Linked DNA regions of Tamandua tetradactyla. The protein of the gene in region 3 purifies or fractionates together with the protein of the main gene of each other region. This does not show direct contact. Links are inferred from orthologs where the notes say so. Each region holds a gene or a part of one and is shown on either strand. Other genes may lie near its edges.

Region 1 (7,315 bases), on a different chromosome or scaffold from region 3:
CCACTCAAATTCAAAAGGAGACATATAAGGATAACTGACTTAAAAACAAATGCTTATTGTGTAGATGTGAGAATGCAATTTACGTTAATTTTGAAACTGAAATGTGGTTGATAATTTTATGATATGGTCTACCACAACTTAAAGTGAACAAAAATCAGTAATTAAAAGACATAAAACCTGGATTTTAAAATGGGTTTTTAATTAAAAGGTCCTTTTATACTTAAATTATCTAAATTATGGTTTTGTTTAAATAAATCTATGAAATATAATTTTAATTTATATATGATACATTTAGGCATTCATCACATGATAAGGACCTCAACTTCTAATTACCCACAGTAGTATTTAAAGTAATATAGTCATATACACTTTAAAGAACAATTATATAACCACTCAAAACAATTAAGAACCTCAGTCTCATTAAGATTCCTTACAATTATCTATATATATATTTTTAAAAAAATACTACATTAGGAGGAGTAATTGTTCAGTCAATCTACCCTCGCTATGCACCAAAAAACCAACACAGCTTTTAATAGCAATAGCTTCTATGGCCATGGAAAGAATGTTCTTTCTTCTCTGGACTAATTCATTCTAAGCTCAGACGTTTAGGAAACTAAAAAAAAAAACAAAAAGTACTCTCTTCTAATCCAGGAATAAATAGAAAATTGAAGATTTAATTCGTTGTCTAATGCAATATTTTAAGTTTTTATGTTGAACTGATTAAAATCATTTTTAAAAAAGAAATCCACCCCAAATTCCCATAACTAAAACAACTAAAGATTCAGAAACATCAAAAGTTGGAAGACAAAGATCTCACAACATTTAAGCCTGCTGTTGTAGAGAAACAAAACATTTCAAATATCTCCTTTATTTTTTGAAAATCTCAAATAGTCAAAAATTATCTGCTGGTTAAAGAGGTCACCTTTCATTCATGATGTTATTGGTCAGTTAGGTAAATAAGAACAATTCTCACATAATTACAAGTAAAGTAGCATAATTAATCTAAATCAAAATTAATAACTTTGCTCTTAAGAAGTTAAATTTAACATCTCTGAGATATAAATCATTCCCAGGACACATGTCAAAGAAGACACATTAGAAGAAAAAACCGACTAAACTAAATCAAGTGTTTCTCACAAATGATGAGGATTAATAACGCACATTAAAAAAATGTATTTCTATAGATGTCCTAAACTGATCAGGGCCATAATTGTAGACTAAGTAGAGGTTAGGTGGAAGAATGATAAAAAGAAAACAAGTGAAAGCATGACAGAATAAAAATTTCCCATCAAAGAATATTTTGAAATCTATCCTTGAGTTTTGATTCACACAGGAAGAAATTCAGTTACTAGAATTCTCTAAAGTAAAAATCCGAGATGGGGGGCAGGGGCTGCTCACAGAATTCCCATAGACTACTACAAACACTTAACCAACATACGCCTTCACTTTTTCCTTGTCCACAATCTAATAAAATGGGAAGACAATAAAAATAAATACTCCTATAAGAGCTGCCCTCACAGAGGCCAAGGAAGCGCCCATTCAATGTTAGGCCTTGTTCCGCTGGAAAACATACTCCTAAAAACTAAATCCAAATCCCCGAGCTCAAACGTCTTCATACAGAATTTACGAATGGCGGCCACCGGGAGGACACGCTGTCCCGAATCACCCTGAGGGATATCTAGAGTTCTTCATTCTCCGCTTACAGCTCCGACCTTAACTATGCTTTCGGCACATCTGCAGATTTTTAAAGAGATTAAAACGTCAATCTAAAAAAGGCAATCTACATTCTGACCCTCATGAGTCTTTTTTTTCAGTACTGGTTTTTAATCATATACTTTCGCGGGGACACCTATAAATGATCAATAAAGGAAGAAGGCGTTAGTCCCGGGTGTGAATAGGATCGGGAATCCTAAAACAACTTTTAATGCGCTTTCGTCTCATCCCAGACTACTACAAATCGCTCGTTGCCACAGCGCTGCGCTGGCACTTTCAACAAGTGGCGGTGGAGGAGGGATGCTGTCTCCAGTCCCTTCTCCCAGGGCGCAGCTGAAGAGGGGTGAGCGCCCATCCAAAGCCCCCGGGTGGGCTACCCCGGGGCCGCCGCGCCGGGAGAGCGGAAACCGAAAGCGAGAAGGGCAGCGGCCAGGACGCTCCGTTATCCTCACCCTCCACGGGGCCAACAAGGTGAGGAAGTCTCAACAGTGCCCGCCGCGCGTCCGTCCCAGAGCATTGCTCAACCCCGGGCTCGAATGTTCCCGCCGCCCCCGGCTGCGAAGGCGAAGTTTCTCTCCCGCCCGCCGCGGCGGCTACTTACGCTCCGCCCGGCTCTCGGAGGATCCCGCCGCCTCCTCCGAGCGGCTGCTGCGGCGCTCCGCAGTCAACCGCCCGCCCGGCTTCGGGCGAGTCGGGGCGGGGGTGGTCGCCCGCCGAAGTCGGGACCTGATACCCCGGGCGGGAAACAAAAGCCGGGTGAGGACAAGCAGGCGCAACCTGCCTCGCCTCCGCGAGGGGGAGCGCGGCGGGCGCCCAACCAGCGCGCCTCCCGGAGGGAACACCGGCCCCGCGGTCTGCGGGGAAGCAGGGGCTGCGGCCCGGGCGGGGCGGCGAGGGGCACGCGGAGCCGCCCAGGGACCCGCAATGGGGCTGGAGGAGCCCCGGGAGCGCTCACCTCCAAGCTTCCCCGACCCCGCTCCGCCCGACTAGCCGCTCCAGGGAAGGGGAGCCGCGCGAGGGGGGCGGGGAGGCGGCGGAACCGAGAAGCAGGGAATTCGGCTCCCGGGGCGCCGCGGCCGCCCGCCCCATCCCTGCAGCCATGGCGCCGGTACCTGTCGCCGCGGTTGCCTGTCGTCTCCGTCTCCCTCCGCCGTACCCGCGAGCAGAGCGCCCTCAGCCCGCCCAGCAGGCCGCCGGCACACCGAACGCCGCCACTAGAGACTGGCAGCGCTCGCCAGCCGGCCTGAAAACCCAGGGCAGCGCCCGACGCCGTCCCGCTCCCGCCGGCCGCAGGACCCGCCTCCCATAGGGCCCCGGGGCTGTCAGCCCGCCCCCAAAAGGCGCGCGGGCTGTAGCCCCGCGTGACGGGATTGGTGGCAGCGCGCTGTCCGCGCAGATAAGGCCACACCCCTTCATTTGCATCACCGCCTGAATGTAACCTCCGCCTCCCCCACCCCAGCCCACGTGTCTGGCTCTTGTCCTTTGTGGGGACCTGAGAGAAGGGAGGGAGGAAGCTTCCCGACACCTCCTCACGCTCTCCTTTACTCCAAAGAAACTGATACCTAAACAAGCTACTTGACTTCATATCTCTTTGACAGCTCCGTCGCCGTTGTCTGGCCACCGGTCGTGCCCTGAGGATGGAGAGGGGCAGACCAAGCTGTCCGTGTCTGGAGCCAGCCAGGTCTGCCCCAGGAAATGAACTAAGAAGGTGAAGATGCCTGGACTGGGGAAATCCCACCTTGAGAACCAATTGAGCACACAGTACCTCTCTCTGGACACCCAGTGACTGTGGACACCATACTTTCCCTTGACTTCCAACCTTCCAAACGTGAGATCGCAGACCATTAAGAAGGATTGAGACAGGAAGAGGCCTTAACAATGGCCGTTTTCTCCCCACAAAGCATAAATCTGCTGCACAAACTCAACTTCAACATCAGCCCACCCCCATCCAATTAGATGGTTACCTGACTGGCTCCCATTGAGATCTATCAGCTGCACCTGGGTCTTAGGAAATGCCCAACTCAACCGTCTCGTTTTTTGAGGAAAAAGAAACCCGAAGTGCCAAAACTAGTTACCTATGAGACCTAATAATTACTTCTGGAATCTAAAAGTCCCATAGTCAGATTAGAATCCACATCTCCTGGCCCCCACATCAGCCCTCTAGCCACCATATCATGATGGGCATCACGTATTTATGAAAGTCACCGCACTGGTTGAGATTGTAGTTGTTCCTGCCTTCAAGAGGTGGACCCTTCAAAAATGGCAATTCCAGCACCGACAGACAGGATCCTGTCTTAGTCACTTAGCTATCCTCAGTAGTTAGCAGCTTCCCATCTTACCAGCTACTAAGTACCAGCTTCTCCCAACTACCAGGAGACAATCAGGACAATTTGTTCATGCCTTAATTCAGCAAGACAATGTTTATTAAAACTGCTCTACATACTAACACCAACTTACTAGGCATCTTATGTGCATAATAACAGTAAGTATTAAGCACTGTGTATGTGCAGAGCAAACGGAAGTGAGAAGACATTAGCCCTGCCCTTGGGGGCTTCAGCCTAGGGCACAATGACATCCACATAACATGTCAGTGCTCTTCATGTCACAGGGGCTTTGTGAAGGACCCCAAAGTGGGAGGAGACAGGGTTCCCTGGGGGAAACAGGGAAGTCTTTACTGAGGACTGGAGCTGAGTCTTGAAAGGTGGAGTAGGTGTTTGCCAGACAGACGAGTGTGAGAGAGGAAGTAAAGGGACTTCCAAGCAAGACCTGGAAAAGCCTAGTAGTGGAGGGAACAGTGAGGAGCCATGTGGACCAATCTCCAGGGCTGTGTGGCTGAGTCACATGCCCTGGGACCAGGCTCTTCCAGGAGGAAGACAGAAAGGCCCGGGAGGCTGCCAGGCTGTGTTGTAACACACCGCAGCAAACAACAGCAGGCCCTGTAGATACAGCTGCAGCCTTTTTTTTTCTCTTTTTTTTCTCGGCCAGAGTCTGTGGGGAACAGTCAGTTCCACAGTTCTGATGGCAGCTTGGCTGGCCCCACCTACTCCCTCAGAAAACCACTCCCGTGGCTGTACTTACCCTCATCTTCGGCATTTGGAAGCACATGTGCTTGCATTTCCCTTAAAAATTGCTGCCCTTCAGTTTTAATTCAACTATGACATGGTCTATGGCTGCAGAAACCTGAATGAGGGATGGGTAGCCCTTTCCCAACACACGGAGCCGTTCTTTGCGGAGCTGTCACCAGGGCTGGCAAGCTTCATAGGTGTGTGACCTAGACAGTTGCCTGGGAATACACACTTAGCAGGGCTCTGTGCTTGGTTTAATGCTCTACCGTTGCCATCGCGAAACTCTTAATCATCTTTTCAACAAGAAGCCCCACATTTTCATTTTGCACTGGACCCTGCAAATTATGTAGCTGTTCCCAACAGTGCCCCTGTCACTGTTAGTGCCCCCAAGCATATGTATAGCCAGCCTGCTACTACTCAAACCACATCTCATTTTTAAAGCTCTAGGCATTCGCTAGGTTTGCTCACGTGCTATATGTCATTTGATTCTCACAAGGGCAATGTAGGGTAGGCCAGTATTACTAGTCCAATTTACTAGTTGAGAAAGTTAAAGTTTGGCCACCTTCTCCAGGTGGCACAGCCGCAAAGTGAGAGAGCTTGTATTTAAACTCAGCACACCCAACCCCTATTTCTTCTCCTGTACAGCTACATCCATGTTGGTTTCAGAATCTTCCCAAGGCAGCTTGGTATATGGAGGTGTACCTTTCTAAGAGCCAGCTCACCTTAAGGAATGGGCAGTTGTTATTTCATGGTTGCCTGCCAGCTTTGGAGCAGCTTTTCACCAGCTTTAAAAAAATTCTCAGCTGCTGCCTGTGCAAATATTGTTTCTGTCTCTTTTCTTCTATCCTTCTGGAGAAGGATATTACACCTTCCCATGACAGCCCTTTCTTTTGTATTTTCTGTCTTTTTTTCTTCCCTGCTTTGTTCTGTGAAGTGTCTTCACAATTTTTCAGCACATTTGCTCTCTCTTCAGCTTTTTAAAAACAAATCTACTCTTAAACCCATCCACTGAGCTCTTAAACTTGGTTATGCTGTTTTTTAGTTCTAGAATTTCAGTTTAATTTGTTTTCAAATCTGCTATGTCACTTCTCAGACCTTTTAGTTCCCTGCTACAATTTTCAAACTTGGCTTTTCTCTCCTTACACATAGTAAGTTAGTTGTTTTACATTCTGTGTCTGATAATACCAATCTGGACTCCTTACAGATCTGTTTCTGTTACCACTTTTTACTGCTGGCTCTTCCTACATGTCTCTTCATGTACCTGGTTATTTCTTTGAACATTGTATTTGAAAAATCATTTGAGGTAATGATGTTAAAATCTTCCTCTGGAAAGAATTTCCATTTGCTTCTGCCAGGCATCTGGGGTACTAGCAATCTAGGATCACCTTAACCCAATTTCAAGGCTTCTGATTTTCTAAGCCTCCCAGATCACTCAAACTGGGCTATAATTTGTGGGAAGGTTTGTTTTTTTAGAGTTCATCCTTACCCAGTGGTACAGCCCTTTGGAGACACAGTCTAAAATCTTGGGAGTTGTTTTAGTTATATATTGCTGCATGGCAAACTATCCCAAAATGTGAGGGCTTAAAACAGATGTCAACAGACTTCTCCTAAAGGGCCAGATATTTTAGACTTACAGACCATTTGATTTCTGTCACAACTACACAACTTCTGTCGTAATAGCATAAAGCAGCTATAAACAAAACATAAGCAAATGGCATGGCTGTGTTCTAATAAAGCTTTATTTCCTAAAACAGGCAGCCTAAATCTTCATCTTGATAAAGGACATCTATGAAAAATCTGCAGTCACATCACACTTGATGGAGAAAGACTGGATATTTTCTCCGTGAGATCAGGAACAAGACAAGGATTCCATTCTCATCACTTCTATTCAACGCTGTACTGGAAGTTCTAGCCAGGGCAATTAGGCAAGAAAAACAAATAAGAGGCATCCAGATCGGAGAGGGAGAACTAAAACTCTTTGCAGATGACATGATCTTGTATATAGGAAAATCCTAAGGAATCCATTAAAAAACTATTAGAGGTGGCGGCCTCCTGGGCTATGTAGCCAAGGCAGCACTTTCAGTGCCTTAGGGAAAGGACAGGATTCTAGAATGTCACTACGGAAGGGACATTGAGTGCTTTCTCATACGAATTCCAAACTGCGACCCACCCGGCTCTGCCTGTTGCTGGGTGTGGGAACGCAGATGCTCAACACCCTAAAGAGATGTTTTAAGATAAAGGAGGCTTTAACTGTCAGCAATGTACGGCGGTAATACAGAACCTAGATTCGCGCTCTGCAGGACGGTGGGAGATGAGTAAAACATGCTTGAGGATGTGGACAAATAACTGACATTAAAATTTTCAAAAGTGGTCACAGTGGCGTAGCAGGCAGAGTTCTTGCCATGCCGGAGACCCGGGTTCATTTCCCACCAGTTCCTGCCTATGCGAAAAAAAAATTTTTTTTTTCAAAAGAATAGGGAGGTTTGATTTCAACACTCTAGTAAAATTCTGAATACTTCCAAGACTCTTTGCTA
Region 2 (7,702 bases), on a different chromosome or scaffold from region 3:
GGTCATTAACTGCTACTGATTCACTCCACAGGAGCTGGCTCTGGGGTGCCCTTCCACTGGCATGGGCCCGGGTACTCGGAAGTCATCTATGGTCGTAAGGTCAGCGTGGGATGGGGGTGGTGGCGGGGACTGAGGTTGGGAGCTCACTGGCCACCAGAGCTCAGGAATGATTTCGCAACCTTCAACCCCAGCGCTGGTTCCTGTATCCCCCAGAGAAGACACCAGAGTTCCACCCCAACAAAACCACACTGGCCTGGCTCCAGGATGTGTATCCAGCCCTGGCGCCCTTGGAACGGCCCCTGGAGTGTACCATCCGCCCTGGCGAGGTCTGTGGTTGCCCTGAGGGGGCCAGGCCAGGCTGAGGCCCTGACTCATCCTGGCCCCTCCTCCTGTGTACCAGGTGCTGTATTTCCCTGATCGGTGGTGGCATGCCACCCTCAATCTTGACACCAGCGTCTTCATCTCTACTTTCCTTGGATAGCACCTGCCAAGCCTCCCACAGCCAGCATGTGCCCACGTAGTGCTCACAGACTTTATTCCAGGGCAGTGGCGGTGGTGGCCCCAGCCCACCCAACCCTTGCCTGCTGTTTTGGGCCTGAGGGAGATGGGGGAGGCTTACACCCTAGCTGAGCGCAAACAGTCCAGAGCCAACAGCAGAACGAATGGCGGAGGAGGCAGGTGAGGGACTGGGATCCAGACACCCAAACTATGTACAGAGACCGGGACCCGGGTCCTGGGCTAGGGTGCAGTGAGTGCGGGGAGTGGCCCTTGGTGGGTCCTCCCTCAGTAATCCTCCACCCAGCCGTTCTCGGAGACAAATGCATCGATGACTTCCTTCATGGCCAGGTTGGGGATGAGCTGTTCCTGGGTCAGGGGGCTCCGGGTCACAGGATCAAAGTGGCCCACACGCTGCAGTGACAAGAGGGCCCAAGGGTGCTCAGCTGGCCCCCCTGGGCAAACTGTTGGCTCCAACCCTGCTGCCCTGCCAGGCCTCACCTGCAGGTGCTCCTCGATGTCCTTGCGGTCATAGGTGATGCCACTTGGTGTGATGCATGGCTCCCGCATCAGCTCGAAGCTGATCTTGCCACACAGGTAGTCAGGGATATCACGCTTCTGTGGCACACGGGAGGGATCAGGGCCTGGGGAGGGGACACTGTTCCATCCCCTGCCACCTGCAGGCCCCAGGGCACAGAGCAGCCTCAAGCCTCACCTTTCTCTTCTCATCCACCTGCGAGAAGAGCTCGTCCATGTCTGCCAAGTATTTGTCCTGCAAATAAACACAAAGCTGTGCAATGGCCGGACACTGCAGCTCCCTTCCCCCTGTGCGGGCCTCATGGGCTGGTGGCACGCTCACGTGCTTGGCCTCGATGCAGGCCTGCTGGGCCCGGATGTGGCCATCATCCTCATCACCCTCGTGGCTCCGCCGACATTCTTCCAGTTCCCTGGGGGTCGACCAGGAACTAGTCAGAGATGGGTCTGGGCAAGAGAAGTGAGACCACAACTCCAGCCTCAGGGTTATAGCCCAGACCTTGTCTCCTTTGCTTTCTGCTCGCCAGCACTGATCTCCCATAAACATTTCTGTTTGTGACTCAGTTAACCTCAAAAGTGGGTGATGGGCTAGAGGAGGGCCTGCCCCACCCACCTCTCACGCTCAGCCATGATGAGGCGTGTCAGGTATGAGTGCAGCTCGTTCTCTTGATGGACGCGCCGCTCTTCCATGCTGTTCCAGCGCTTCTTCTTGGCAATGCGCAGAGCACTGGGGATATCATCCCCAAAGTTGAGCCGCTGCTCCTTGGCCAGATTGTACGCTGGGGGAGTGGAGGTGCAAGTCACCTTCTGGCCACCCACCCACCCAGTCCCAGACTGAGGCGCCCTTGCAGCCAGCCTGTTGGCCCACCTCGCTGCAAATTTGCAATGGCTTCGTCATAGCTCTCCATCTCCAGCTGGCACTGACCCAGGAAGAAGTGCGCCTTCACAGACTGCCCATCCAGCTCCAGAGCGCGACGGCAGTCAGCCAATGCCTGCTCAAGCTGCTGCATCTTCAGGTAGCACAGGGCCCGGTTGGTGTAATACACAGCCACCAGGGGGTTCCGTGTCTGGGGACCAAGAGCTGGGTCAACTGGCATGAGGGAGTGAGCTCAGTCTGGGACCTCTGCCCCAAAAAGCTGATGCCCTGCTGCCCCTGGTTCTGTCCCAGCTATAGGGTCCATAACTGGGTGAAAAAAGCTTGAAGCTTCTAAGCTGCCAAAGCTGTTGGGTCAGGACCTGCTGAGGGTGGAGTCTGGCCTGAAGCTTGACAGCCTATCCTGGTTTGACCCAAACTGATTTGGTAACTGAGTTTCCAAACCTATAGGGACCCACGGGGTAAGAGTTCCCAGCTTCCAAACCAGCCGGCCCCAGGTACCCTGAAGCCTAACCCACGAGCGCCGGTCTCGACAGCCCCGGCCTCTGCCCAATGACAACAAGAGGCTTACCTAGTGCTCGGGGCCCATGTCCCGCAGGTAGGAGCCGAGATCCTCGGCGGGACCGGCTGGGAGGCCGGCTAGGGGATGGTGCTGGATGCGGGGTGGAGCCGGGAGCCCCGCCCCTCGCCCCCATCCCGACCTCGATCCCGTCCGGGCCCCGGCGCACTCACGATGGCGCGGCCGTAGCAGGCCGCTGCCTCCGGGTACTTGCGGCCCACAAACAGCCGGTTGCCCTGCTCCTTGAGCTCCTGCGCGCTCGGGCTCTTCTCAGGGCTTCCGCCGCCCAGCCGCGCGCCGCTCTCCTTCTCCTCCTTGCCCTTCATGGCGCCGCGCGGCCCGGCCTGGGCTCCGCGCCCGGCCCGCCCTGCACCCGCCGCCCGAGGCCCCGCCGAAGCCCGGGATCCACTCGGGCCAGGTCTACGGAGCCGCCACCGGAACTTCCGGCCGCGCGGGGGCGGGGCCGCGCGTGCGCGACGCGCCTCGCGACGGGGAGGGGCTACGCGGTAGCTGCCGCCGAGGAGAACGTGGCGGCCGCGAGGGTCGCCTGAGGCCCCGAGGCTGAGGCGGCTGGGCTGCCCGACCCCCGCCTGACGCCACGAGTACTTTTTCTCGAGGCTCGTGGGCTGCACGCGTGCACGGAGCCGCGCTTCCGAGGCTCCTCGGAGTCGACCCCGCCTCCCATCGGAGCCCCGCCCCCCGATTGGACCCTCCCCCCGCGAAGCCCCGCCCCGGCGCGCAGACTCGCTGCGCGCCCTCCTGCGGGCGGGATGGGGTGGCAGGCGGGGCGCACCCCGCCGCCCGGCTCCCGTGATCCCGTCCAGGCATCCGGAGAATTCGCCGCGGTCCTCGAGGCCGGCCAACAAGCGCGTGACCCGAGGCGCACCGGAGCGGCCGGGGTCGAGGGAAAGGGCAGCGGGGGTGCAGCCTCGCCTCCCCAGTGCCCCACATGCGACCCCGGCCCGGCTGCCGCTCGTGCTCCATGGTGACCCCGAACTCGGCGCCGCCACCTTCCGGCCCTCGTGCCCGCCGGTCACGGAGGCCGTGGCGCGGCGAGGGCGAAGCGGCCGTGGGCAGCCCTCGTCACCGGCTGTTCGAGGGCCGAGGGCTTGGAGCAGGGGCGGCCTTCGCGGTGCCGGCGGAGGGGAGCAGGCGCGCCCGGGTTCCTTCTGCCCCTCCCAGCCGGAGCCTGGAAACCGCGGCCGCACCGCCCCGCTGCCCGCCCCCGGCTCCAGCCGCTTGGCGGTGGGCGCCGGACGAGTCCCCCAGCCCCGGCAGCGCCACCCGGTGCCGTGTAGAATATTTATTCGTTCTCCAAAAAGGCTCAGTCTGCAGGTCCCGGGGTGGGGCCGGGCCGGGGCCTCCTCGGGGGCCTCCCGCCCCAGGCTGCAGCGCTCGGCGGCCCGCCAGCAGGAGGGCACCGCTTCGGGGCGCACGCTCGGGGCGGTGGGCGCACTGCCCCCGCGCCTGCCCGGGGCCGCGACGTCAGGGCGGCGGGGGGACGTGGGCGCCTAGGAGGTCATAGGCGAAGACGTTCCAGAAAACGGCGAAGAGCAGGAAGGTGCCGTAGGCAAGCAGCACCACCCACCAGCCGCACTGGTCCCGCAGGCGCTCCTCGTAGCTGCGCAGGATGGTCAGCCCCATGCTCACGCCCACCACCGCGCCTGCCAGGTGCGCCATGAAGCTGGGCTGCGGGCCCGAGGCGGGCAGCGGCGGGGAGAAGCGCAGCCACACGGCCCGGCCCACCTCGGAACTCACTGCGGAGGCAAGCGCAGCGCTGGGGAGGCGCCCCGGGTGGGGGGCCCGCCCGCCCGGCAGCCCCCTACTCACTGCACACCAGCGCCAGCACCATCCTCAGCAGCTTGTAGGGACACCGCATGCCCGCCCAGTTCTGCCGGGGCAAGCATAGAGACGGCATCAGGCCCGGCCCCGCGGCCCCTTCCCGGCCCCCAGGCGCCCCCTTACCATGACAACGTTGGCCAGGTGCGCCGAGCAGAGCGCGTAGACACCGCCGGAGCCCCCTACCACGGGGGCCCGCATGTCGGTGATGGAGACGGTCAGGGAGCCTGCGGGCAGGAGAGGCCGTGAGGGCGGCCCGCGGGCGGGTGGGGTGCGCCCGTCCCCCCGCCTCACCTGCCAGCACGCCCGCCAGGTAGAGGAGGCTGATGCGCAGCAGCCCGTGCACCATCTCCAGCGGCACCCCGATCATCAGCTGCAGCAGCGCGTTGAAGCCCAGCTGCTCCAGCCTGGCCGCGCGGGGCAGAAGCACGCAAGGGTGTGAGGGGCGCGGCACTCTCGGTTGTCCCCGCCCCCCACCCCCGCTCGGCGGTGCCGACGCCCCCGCGGGTCCCACTCACCCGACGTGCATGAACATGTACGTGAGAAAGCGCCAGGCGCGCGCGCGGTGCCCGGGGTGGTACACGAGGGGGCTCTTCATGTACTCGGGGTGGTAGGTCTGCAGCACCCACTTGTTGAGGCGGGCCCCGTAGCACAGAAACACGACAATCTGGGGTGCGGGCCCGAAGGTTAGGGCATGCCGGGTGCGGGCAGCTCGCGGCCTAGGGGCGCGGCTCACCTGGGCGAGCGTGACAGAGGCCATGAACACGGGGGGCGGGCAGCTGCGGTGCCGGTAGAAGTACCAGCGGCGGTCCACCTCGCAGGGCAGGATCTCGTAGGCCACGTAGCGCACGAAGCGTTTGTAGACGCCCAGGCCCGGCTCGTCCAGCAGCCCATCCCGGGGCAGGGCCCGCTGCCCGTTGGCCATGGCGCGCTTGAAGCTGCTGGAGCGCTTGCTGCTGATCTGGGGCGCGGGGCCTGGGCGTGGGCCATGGTGCCCCTCCCGTAGCACCTCCCTGCCCAGAAGACCTCCCCAGCAGGAAGGGTGGGGAGGAAGGCACCCCTGCCCACCCCCGCAGCCCCCGCTGCCCGCCCCGCCTGGCACTGACCAGATCCACCAGCTCCTGGTAGCACACCTGGCCCTGCTCGTTGCTCTGGGCCAGGGCCACCAGCATGTCCAGTTTGGAGGGGTCCAGGGGCAGCTCATGGCTGTGCACCAGGCCAGCGAAGGTATCAGCACCAATGAAGCCTGTGTTCTCGGGGTCCAGTTGCTGGAGGGAGAGGGGTGACCAAGGCCTGAGGGCAGCCCGGCCCCCCACACCACAGGGGTGGGCCAGGTTCCGAGCAGTCCTCGGGCTCGGGGGGCTCCAGGGACTGCCTGCCTCAGCTCCACCCTGTCTCGGGAGGGGTGGGTCTCCCACTCATCCTCTTCTGGGGGCGCAAACGCAGGGGCCAAGGTCGCGCGGGAAGGGGACGGCGGGGTGCAGGGGCTGGGGGCTTGACGCTCTCGGGGGAGTCCCGCCGCAGCCGCCGGGAGGGCCTCGCGGGGTGGGCGTCGCCCCTGCCCCCTTTCCCACGCACCTGCTCCTGGATGAGCTGCAGCAGCGAGCTCCTGTCCATAGAGCCGGGCCGGGGCGGGCGGCCGCGGGCCGGGCCGGACTGCTCTGCGGTCTCCGCTCCGCCCCGGCCGGCCCGCTCCGCCTGCTCAGCTCGGCGCCGCCGCGCTGGGGGCCGCGTCACGGAGCCACCGCCCCGCCCGCTCCGTGCTGCACACGCCGCCCGCCGGCGCGCAGAGGCACCGCCCCGCATGCACGCGGCTCCCGCGCGCCGCCCGCCCCACCGCGGAGCCGGGTTGCAGCTTCGCCTCCCGCATTCAGCGGCTGAGATTGACTCAGGTTGCTGCGCCCTAGTCTCCTCCCGTGCTGCACCTGCCCAGTGTCCATCCTCCCCATCTCAGGGAGCCCCAGCCTCGGAGTGCAGTCATCTTCAGCAGGCAGCCTTCCTGGCCACCACTCCTCAGGCATCCGCGCTTCCCACTCCCTCTGGCTCATTTGCTCACTGGCTAGACCAGCCCCTGCTGGGTACCCCCACCCTATGCCTGGGAAGGCCACTGCTGCCACCCACGCGGGCCAGGGGAGGGGAGGCCGCGGGGCCCTGCTCAGCCAGCCCAGCCTGCCCCATCGTGGGCTCAGTAGCGTCCTTGCCACAGGTGCTGGACGGCCAACCTGCTGAGCCCCAGGGAACACCAGGGCCTGGCCCAGGGTTCTTAGGCAGGTCTGGGCCAGCAGGACAGAGTCCCAGGTAGGCAGGGCTGCAGCCAGAACTTCTGAAGGCCAGGCGGACAGACCCGGGTAGTAGTGTGACAGAGACCAAGGGGATGGGCAGCCATAGCAACCCCTCCACAGGCCAGTCGGAGCTCAGGGCTCACTCCCACTGGGGCCACTGCTCCAGGCTGCTGAGCCCTGGGCAGGAACATCAGGCCAGATGCAGCTTCCTGCTCACCCAGAAGCAGGCCCAGGGAGGCCAGCAGTGCAAGGGTCACAGTCAAGACCCTCCAGGACCAGCCCTGAGTGGCCCCACACGGCAGCTGCCCTCCCCAGCGGGTCACAGCACTTGGCTGGCTCAGGGGTCTGCCCAGCACAGGAGGGCACGGACAGGGCCAAGGAAGGGCCCTGGGGTGCAGAGGCAGCCCTGGCTCCTCCCCCTCCCTCTGCCGTGGGGTTCTGGGTGCCAGCCCCCAAGCACCGGGGCCAGCAGATAATGGCACTTGGCTTGGGCCAGGAACACCCAACGGGGCTGCTCTGCGAAGCTGATGGGCCCCCCTACCCTAAGCCAGCCCTCCCCTCAGCCAGGGGATTGTGACTGTCCTGTAGGAGGAATGGACAGCCCCTGGCCAGGAACCAGCTTGACCAATACTGATGGTGCCAGCATGAACAGAACGGCCCCATGTCCCAGCCATCGCTGGCCAGACCTCCAGCCCACAGGCTCATGATGTGGCTCAGCCAGGCCAGCTGCCCACAGAGAATCCAGGAGGGGAGGCAGGGCACAGCCAGCCCCGATAGGGTGGGGGTCAGCAGGGTGATTTGAGGCTGCAGGCCCCCCTGACAGACAGGCTTCAGGTCCTGTGCCTGGGCCCTTGGGGGGGGGGGGTTCCCGGGGCTGGAGGAAACAGGCAGAAGCAACGGGTTTCCAGCCCATGCCAAATTAAATGTGTTTTCAAGCTCATTCAGAAAAACTGTCTTCAAAACAGGGGATCTGAGATGGAAAGGGCACAGCTGAAGTTTAATTGTAAAACCAACCCCATGGCTTCCCACAAAAGGTGCCCACAGGGACCTGCTCCAAAATGCACAGTGGGCAGGGGCTACATGCTGGCCTCTGGCAGCGACAGTCCAGGCCCCGCCCTC
Region 3 (8,178 bases):
GTATTAAGATATTTCCTTATTTTTGCACCATACCTAAATTACCCTTGTATTTGTTATATGTTATTCTTTTTGTTGTTGTTTGGGTACATGGGCCAGGAAACAAATATGCTATTCTTTTAGTGTCATATAGTATAGTAATTAAGAGTGTCAACTCTGGAACCTTACTGCTTGGGTTCAGGGTCTGCCTCTGCCAGTTGCAAGCCATGTGACCTTGGGCAAGTTATTTATCCCCTCTATGTCTCTGTTTTTACAGTACCTGCCTACTGGTTATTCACCTATTTCTTCTCACCCCATGCCCACTCATCTGTTCTATTATGCCTCAGGGTTTTTGTGAGGATTGCATAAGTTAATATGCATTAATTAGAACAGTGCCTGGAACACAGTAAGCTTGTTATAATGTTAATTATTGCTATTATAATTTTTCTTAGTCTGTTGTAGAAATCTATGTGCTAGTATTTTACCTGTGATTTTTACATCCATATTCCTGAGATCTCTTTTTCGTAATATAATCATGATAAAAGATCCAACTCTTTATCAGCCATTATGAACAAATTAAGAAAACTCCCCTTCCCTCTTTGTTCTAGAATTGTCATATAGCATGGAACAGAATGATCTCTTTCAGGAATATTTGTAAATAATGGTGAACCTTTTGGGCGAGACGTTCTTTGGTCATTTTCGATAATTTTTTCCATGTCCTCTTTAGTTGTTCCTCAGTTTTTGCTTTCGTATCCTTGCTTAGCATTTTACTCACGGTTTTAAATTCATTAGCCTATAATTACATACATAATTCCCTTATATTGTTAAACTCTGTAATAAGTTTTAAAATGTGGATGTGATGGATATGTTTGCTATCATGATTATGGTAATAGTTTCACAGTCTTATACATAGGGCAGAACTGATCAGTTTGTACACTTAATATATGTGCAGTTTATTGTAAATCAATTCTACCTCAATTTAAAAAGTAATTTAAAAAATCTTACCAGTTTTATGTATTTTCAAAGAACTAGCTAATATTTACTAATTCCATTATTCATGATTTTTGATTTTTAAAACTATTTCGTAGAATATGTAAGAAATATGTTTACCGTAGATAAAAGGGATGATGCGCTGTTAATGATTCATTTCCTAATAATAGGGTATACAATTTGTTTTTTATCTATTAATTATGTTAATTTCATTGTTACCAGGAAGTTTTTTTAATATTAAAAAGAGGAAAATATAGATGGGGATGCACATTTTTTTAGGCTGTTCTTGAAGTTTTGGAGCCAGGAAACTCTGGGTGTGGAGAAGGTATATAGATGGAAAGACCTGGGCTCTGGCCAACACAGCAGTGGCCCTTTGATGTGGGTTAGCATTAGACTGACATGTGAGAATTGATTTGAAAACAGGGGATCCAACAGATTTCTGGGAAGGTACATTAAGTATTGCTGGAAGAAGTTTGTCAGCATAAACATCAAAATGTTTTCTGGATTTCCCCCTACCCTGTAGGCGTTGCAGCTGTGGCTGCTGTGTCCCAGCTGTGTCACGGGTGGCAGAGAGGAAGAGGCGCCGTCTACACTGAGTGTTCTTGGACCATGAGTCCCCAGAATGCTGGCAGCCTCACAGCTCCAGCCCAAAAAAAAAAAAAAGTTTTCTGGATTTCCCTTATGTCTACCACTTTGTCAAGCCAGGTGTGAAATTCCTGATAATGGAGATACTCTTCAGGAAGACCTTTATGGGCCAGGGTCAGGCTTGACTCCACTAGCCACTCTGGAGATGAGTGAGAATAGTGGCCAGTGCCTTTCCTCAATGAGGAAAGGACATTCATATGAGGCTGGACATTCACAGCAGGTGATTTAAACCCTTCTTTTTGGATGCTGAGCTCCCAGCTCAGTTAAACCAGGGCAAGGGTCTTGCTATTTCTGGGATTTTTTTTTTCCCTGCAAATAGCTTTACTTTTTACATTTGGTTCATGGCTTGTTAGAGGGCTGCAAGGTCGTTGGTTTAAAAAAATGCCTCCCATGTAAACTATTTAGCCCTGTGAATTATTATATTCCTAGTTAACTAATTTTCATTAAATTTTTGTCTTTGAATCATTGAAAAAAAAAAAGATGCCTCCAGGCTGGAGGGAGGGGCTCAGGCAGAAGCCTGGATGCCCAAGGAATACTGAGGGGTCCTCTGGGTTCCAGAGGCTCTTGGTCATGTTTGACAGTGAGCCTTTCAAAGAGATCATCACCCAGCCTGGACTGTGGGCCTGCCAGCCTGCAGAAAGTGGTTAGGTGGTTGCTCATCTTCTTGATGAGTTTCACTTCATCATCTAGGAAATGTCTCTCCAGGAAGTCACAGAAATTAGTATCTCTGTTGGCAGAACCCAGGGCATACAGATCTATAAGGATTTGGTTCAGGTTCTTCTCCAGGGTCATGGTGACTTCCATGGCATCTAGTGTTTTACTCCACCACTTCTACACATCCTGGAAGAGGGTGTGGCTGCTGTGCTGGCTTTGTATCTTCAAGAGATGCTGGGTACCCTCCTGCTACTCTTTCACCATTTTGTGGAAGAAGTGGTCCGTGCCTTTTAGGGCTGCAATCTTCTCAGTCAAAATAGAAGCCCAGAAAGAGATAGGTGTAGGAGGCCCCTACATGCAGGTTGACTAGGCAGTTGACGGAAGACTTCATTTCAACAGAATAGATCTCAGGATCTGGGAACTCATGGTTAGTTGGCAATGAGGACCCAAAAAATGGTGTTAGCTGTTTGTGGAAGCAGGGAATGGCTGAGAAGATGGTCCTTGAGCTTGCAGCTGTAGAAGTTGGAGAGGGGTCTGATGCTGAGGAGGGATGGGGATAGTCCCTGGGCGTGTTCTGTCCAAGTACTGTGAAAACATGGGGCAGATCTATGGGATGGCCAGGTAGGCTGTTGTAAGGAGTTTTTGATGCAATCTGTTTGGTTCAGGTCAACCCATATTTACTAATTACTTTAGGCACAGCTTGTGCTATACACTGAAGAGGACAGATATGCATCTGATTTGGTCCCTGCCCTTTAGGAGCTTATGCTTAGAGTGTGGGAGGCAGACAATGATTATGATAGTAGCTAACATTTTGCTTGCATCTTCCAACCCGTATTCTGAAGTCTTTATATGTATTCGCTCATTCAATCTTCACAGCAGCCCAGTGAGATAGGTACTTTTACAGAAGAAGAAATTGAGGCACAGGGAAGTTAAGTGATTTGTCCAATGTTACACAGCTTGTAAATGGCAGGACCAGGAGCGAAATCAAGAAAGTGTGGCTCTAAAGTTTTTGTTCTTAACCATTAGTATATACTACAGAATAGTAGTTTTCAAAAGGTAATCACAGACCAACAACATCAGCCTTACCTGGAAACTTGCACATCCTTGGGACCCACTTCAGTCTTACTGTATTAGAAACACTGGAGGTGGGATTCAGCAATCAGTGTTTAAACAAGCCCTCCAGGTAATTTTGATGCTTGTTTCAGAATCTCTGCTGGAGAGAAGCAAGGCATGCTCTGATGAATGTCAGAAATTAATCTCATTGGTAGGCACTATATATAGTCCATCTCTTAAGTTCTCAGACCTCTGCAAAGAATCTAGTGTAAAAGTAGCACCAAAAAATACATTTTGAATGAATATATGGGAGAATGATTTTTGAGCTGGATCTCATACCACCTATCAGCAGTAGACTTTTTGGGAGGAAAGGTCCCAGAAGGTGTATGGCTAGCAAGGAATTTGTTTTGATACTTCTGGCAAGATATGATGAGTCTGCACCAGCAAGAGGGTCCTCAGGATGGCAGGAGAATCAAGTGAGAGCAGTAGAGAAGGTGAACATGTCAGGACTTGGTAAACAGCTGAATGGGGGAAAGAAACAAGAGAAAGAGAGAGAGAAAAAAAACTGTCCTTTCTAGGATGAAGTTGCCACTCACTGAGACAAGAAACACAGGTCAAGCACGTTTGGGTGGCAGAAGACAAAGTTCCATTTTGAATTCCTTAAATTGGAAGTATTGGTAGGATATTCAAGTGGAGCTGTCCAGCAGACACTTGGATGTATGAGTCTGAGTCATGGCTAGAGATGGAGGTTTGGGAGGAGAGTTGAGCCAAAAGAGTCGATGAGACCCTCAAGGGAAGAGTGGAGAGTGGAATGAGAAGAGAGCTGGATTTGGAAGCACAGTGAACACTGTTACTAAGTGAGGCAAAAGAAAGAGGAGGCTCTTGAAGGAATCTGGAAAGGAATTAGGCAATAGGGGACTTCAGAAAATGTAGAAGCCAAGGAGAAGGATCAAAAAGAAATAGGCACAGTGTCAGATACTGCAGAGAAATAAAATAAGAGTTGTAAATTATCATTGGATTTCGACGCAAAAAGTCATTTAGGTGACGTTGGGAAGGGGCGGGGGCAGAAGCAAATTGGCAGAGTTCAGAAGAGCTATAGATGAGAAAGTGGAGGCAGGTGCCTCCTGAATCCCGCAGATAGAGCTCTATAGCCGTACTTAAGTTGAGACTGTGAGGCAGGGTCTCTTTCGTATTAGTGGTCTCAGCGTCCAGCACACGGCCTGGAGGAGAGGGTGGCGTCAATGAGTTCAGTGACTAGGGACGAAGAAAGACTTCGCGGAGACAGTCATTTTCCAGCCAAGGCTTGAAGGATGAGGATGATTGGGAGGAGAGGTGGGAGGCAGGGCTCCTGGATGGTGGGGCGTTCAAGTGCTTGAGGGGGGACTGGGTGTATGTGGGGTCCCTGTAATGTGCTTGTGGCTCTGTATGAAGGAAGGGCTGTGTGTAGGTTTGGAAGGTACTGTTTGAGGAAGAGGTATGGGGCTAGAGGTTGCTGCGGGGATGCCTCCCTCCTTTCTCTTCTACCCACCCCTACCCCATTTATGCCGCTGCGCGGTTCCGCGATTCCTGTACCGGAGCCCTCCTGCCGGGCTGCATAGCGACGGGTGACCGCCAGGGGCCGCTGCCTCGGGTCCCCCGTGCTCCCGCCCCCCCCCCGGTGCCCCCGCCCCTCTCCATTGGCCTTTGTTGCCGTCGGAGCGCCCCGCTTGACTCGTTCCCGTCCGCCCCCTGGGCCTGGCGGCTGCGCCTGCGCACTGACAGCTGGCCGGGTGCTCGCAGTGGGAGCTGCTGCAGGCTCCGCCGCGGCGGAGGCAACGGAGGCTGCGGGGGCGGAGGCACGAGCGGCCGGGCTTGGGGGGGGATCCGAGCCCGGCCCGGGAGCCCGAGCTGTGAGAGTGCAGGGTACTTAGGCCCCTCACGCTGGACTCCACAGTCTCCGGGCCGCCTGACCTCTGCACGGGTATATGGGATGGAAGCGGGACCCTCGGGAGCAGGTAAGGGCCCCTGGGAGTGGGGGGCGATGCATGCTCCAAGGACCAGGGGGCTCCTGCGTGAGGAGTGGGGTTTCCGAGCAAGGGGAGCGTTCTTTAGTGAGGAGAGGGACTCTCATGGGATAGGGGGCCCAGTTTGAAGGGGGCTATGTGCAGTTCCGGGGAAGAACCTTGTGAAGAAAGCTCCGAGATAGGGGGCCGTTTGTAAAAGGAGGCTGTATGCAGTCCTGGTTATGGGAAGTAATCTGTGAGAAGGGCCTGAAGGTACGGAAGGACTCATGGAAATCCGGGGAGGCCTAGGGAGAGGCCCTGCAGGTGGCAGAGGGCGGGCTCCAGGTATTCAGGAGAGGAGGGGGGAACACACAGATGGGCCCGGAGCTGCCGCATGCGGGGGGCGGGGATTCAGCTGGCCTGGGTTGGGCTAGTGTCTCTTGGGAAAAGGCTCCCGAGCTGGGCTTTGAGCTCCGCCCCAGGCGGGCTTGACGCGGGGGCGAGGGTCAGGGGGCGGTGGGTGGGGACCCAGCCACGGGATTCCCCCGGTGAGTCTGGGGAACCAAAGCGGAGGCGCGGGAGCATGCGCAGAGATGGCAGCTGGAAGGGGCTGCCTGATATGGGGGCGTGGCTGCCTGAGGCACCCCACCCACCCCACCCCACTCCACCTAGTTCTGGTTTGGTTAGGAAAAAGGAGCACGGGTTGATGGGGTGCATCTCTAACGTTATGTAGGCAGAGGACAAATGGAAATAGTCCTCTCTTAATCTTAGGGTCTTTTTGCACTTGGCCCCTCGCTCTCAGTTTTCCAACAGTGATTTGGGGGAAAGTGCCAATGTCCCTTTCTTTGCCACTGGTGTGAGAAAAGACCAGGACTGAGACTGTGTTTCAGGGAAGAGGGATGGGGCGGGTTCTCCTTGAAGATAGGCCTTAGAAAGATTTTAATTACAGAGAAACTATGACTAGGACCAGGTATACCTGGAAGGGGTTGTCTGCATTGTGAATGAGTTTCTGGACCAAAATTGAGTAGAATAGGAGTTTTAATACAGGGATAATGATCTTTCCATTGAAATGTCTCTTGAAGTGATTGCCTGATCTCTTCCTATACTGCAATATTTTCATGACTTCTAACCACTACTGGGTATCTTTGGATCTGTAGTCTTTCCTTCTTTTTCCATTTCCCAGAAACTGTCAGGACCATGTCATTGGACCCAAGGTTGCCCAGCTAGCCTATGACCACAAACACGTTGTTTAGGGTGGTTTAGTTTTTAGCCTGTACCCTGGTGTGCTGAGTCCCAGGTGATAGCTCTAACTTCTCCTTATTCACAGGCACTCGGGAGAAAGGGATATAAGAACAGAGAGAAACCGAGACAGGGCTTTCCCAAGAAGCCTGGAGTCCCCAGGATGGGCTGCTGTGTGCTGGCACCTTCTGTGTCCTAGGTCTCTTACCTGTGATGGGAGGATGAGCAGTCTGGACCCGGGAATCCTTTAGGATTCACTTCCTTCCCATCTAGAGATGGGAATAGGATTTCTATTTGGAAAAGGAACCTCATTATGTTTCTGGTGCAAGGATCTTTGTCTTTTACCCCTTACTCCTTCAAGGAAATAGCTTCTGTCAACTAACTCAAGTCTTGTATTCAGTGGTCTATAAGCAGTTGGTGACTGCTAAAGTATGGAAATAGAGTACAGGGAGCAAATGACATCAGTAGAAACTACTTTCTCCTTCCCTCAGGCCCCTCTTCCCATCTGAGGAGTGCCCCTGGTCTTCTAGGCTGGATCCCATTTGTGACCACTTTTGGACTAGAAAAAGGGATGGGTCACAGAGGTCCAAATGGATTTCTGGAAGCTAGCACCACATCAGACTGCTGGTAAATTCCTAATTGACTTTGGAGTGACTAAAAATCTTTTTTTTTGTTTGTTAACAGAAAATAAGATTCTAGGAAAGGGGGTAGATCCTGGTGTCTCGAGTCTGTGGTAGCCTTCAGAAGAGCCTAGTGGAACAGGCTTTGCCTCATCAACTGGTGTAAATGAAAGTTAGTCTGAAAGCTTTGGCTGGAAGGACCCTATAACTGCTTCCTCCCCACCAGAGAATTTTCTTGGGATTTGAAGTCTTGTCCTGAGGAGGCTCAAAAACACAATACACAAAGGCTTTGTTACTGGCCTCACTGGGCTTATCCCCAGGTATGCCTACTGTGTGTTCCAAGCATATCTATTGAACCGGATGCTCCCTGAGGGCAGAAGCACTGATTTATCTGTGGAACCAGTGGATGTGCCTGGCATAGGCCCTAACACAGAACACGTTTGTTAATTGAATTGAATCATGCTCAAGTGTGAACATATATGGTTAATCTTATATGTGGTTATATATTCATATGTGGACACATCCTTTTTGGATTTGTTTACCTGCCAACTTATCTAGCCTTGAGTTTGTATCTTTTGAATAGGTAGTCTGAATAGGAAGTATGTGGGACTCTGAACTGCAGGGAAAGATTCCCTGAGCCAAGGCTTTCAGCTCTGTTACTTTTCTTTCTCTGGGCTAGTTGGGGTTGGGGGAGGGGGAGTGTCCTTTTCAGGGACCCTCCCTCCTTGTTTCTGTCTGCAGGGAAGGGCCCAGCCCCTTTTCCCCAAGGCCCAAGCTTTGTCCTCTGAGCTGGGGCCCTCATCTGCATCACAAAGTGGCCGTCTGTCCCTGTCTGGGTCTGAAGGGAAGTGTCTCCCTCTTTCAGACTAAACGCTGGGGGTGGGGTGAGGGGGATATTGTACAGCTATAAGGCGTGCAGGGGGATGGGATAGGAGAGAGGTTCCCGCCTTCTCCTGCCTTCCTGAGTTCAGAGATAGAGGGAGGTGAGGGATCTCCTGTTTTCCCGAATCCTCCTTTGA

Evidence for each region. Proteins that work in one complex are often made in the same cells at the same time.
Region 1: the proteins of protein argonaute-1 (region 3) and FKBP5 purify together in Homo sapiens (affinity purification with mass spectrometry; 6 studies listed by BioGRID and IntAct, with this or other methods). This does not show direct contact. The link is inferred for Tamandua tetradactyla from reciprocal best matches to the Homo sapiens genes AGO1 and FKBP5.
Region 2: the proteins of protein argonaute-1 (region 3) and STUB1 purify together in Homo sapiens (affinity purification with mass spectrometry; 3 studies listed by BioGRID and IntAct, with this or other methods). This does not show direct contact. The link is inferred for Tamandua tetradactyla from reciprocal best matches to the Homo sapiens genes AGO1 and STUB1.

The regions. Positions count from the first base shown.
Region 1 is NC_135331.1:92,296,911-92,304,225, forward strand, and holds the start of FKBP5 (peptidyl-prolyl cis-trans isomerase FKBP5), read right to left. Parts: upstream 3,019-7,315; 5' UTR 2,829-3,018; intron 2,402-2,828; exon of another isoform or gene 2,318-2,401; intron 1-2,317. UniProt on the Homo sapiens protein: Immunophilin protein with PPIase and co-chaperone activities. Component of unligated steroid receptors heterocomplexes through interaction with heat-shock protein 90 (HSP90).
Region 2 is NC_135349.1:56,698,735-56,706,436, forward strand, and holds STUB1 (E3 ubiquitin-protein ligase CHIP), read right to left. Parts: upstream 2,883-7,702; 5' UTR 2,789-2,882; coding exon 2,636-2,788; intron 2,097-2,635; coding exon 1,898-2,096; intron 1,809-1,897; coding exon 1,643-1,808; intron 1,443-1,642; coding exon 1,355-1,442; intron 1,296-1,354; exon of another isoform or gene 1,268-1,295; coding exon 1,211-1,267; exon of another isoform or gene 1,114-1,210; coding exon 784-1,113; 3' UTR 519-783; downstream 1-518. Other genes in the region: JMJD8 (jmjC domain-containing protein 8), read left to right, coding at 32-99, 192-326, 401-481; RHBDL1 (rhomboid-related protein 1), read right to left, coding at 3,948-4,219, 4,293-4,353, 4,428-4,528, 4,596-4,708, 4,820-4,968, 5,038-5,262, 5,408-5,569, 5,880-5,918. UniProt on the Homo sapiens protein: E3 ubiquitin-protein ligase which targets misfolded chaperone substrates towards proteasomal degradation.
Region 3 is NC_135328.1:189,483,120-189,491,297, reverse strand, and holds the start of protein argonaute-1, read left to right. Parts: upstream 1-5,079; 5' UTR 5,080-5,287; coding exon 5,288-5,312; intron 5,313-8,178.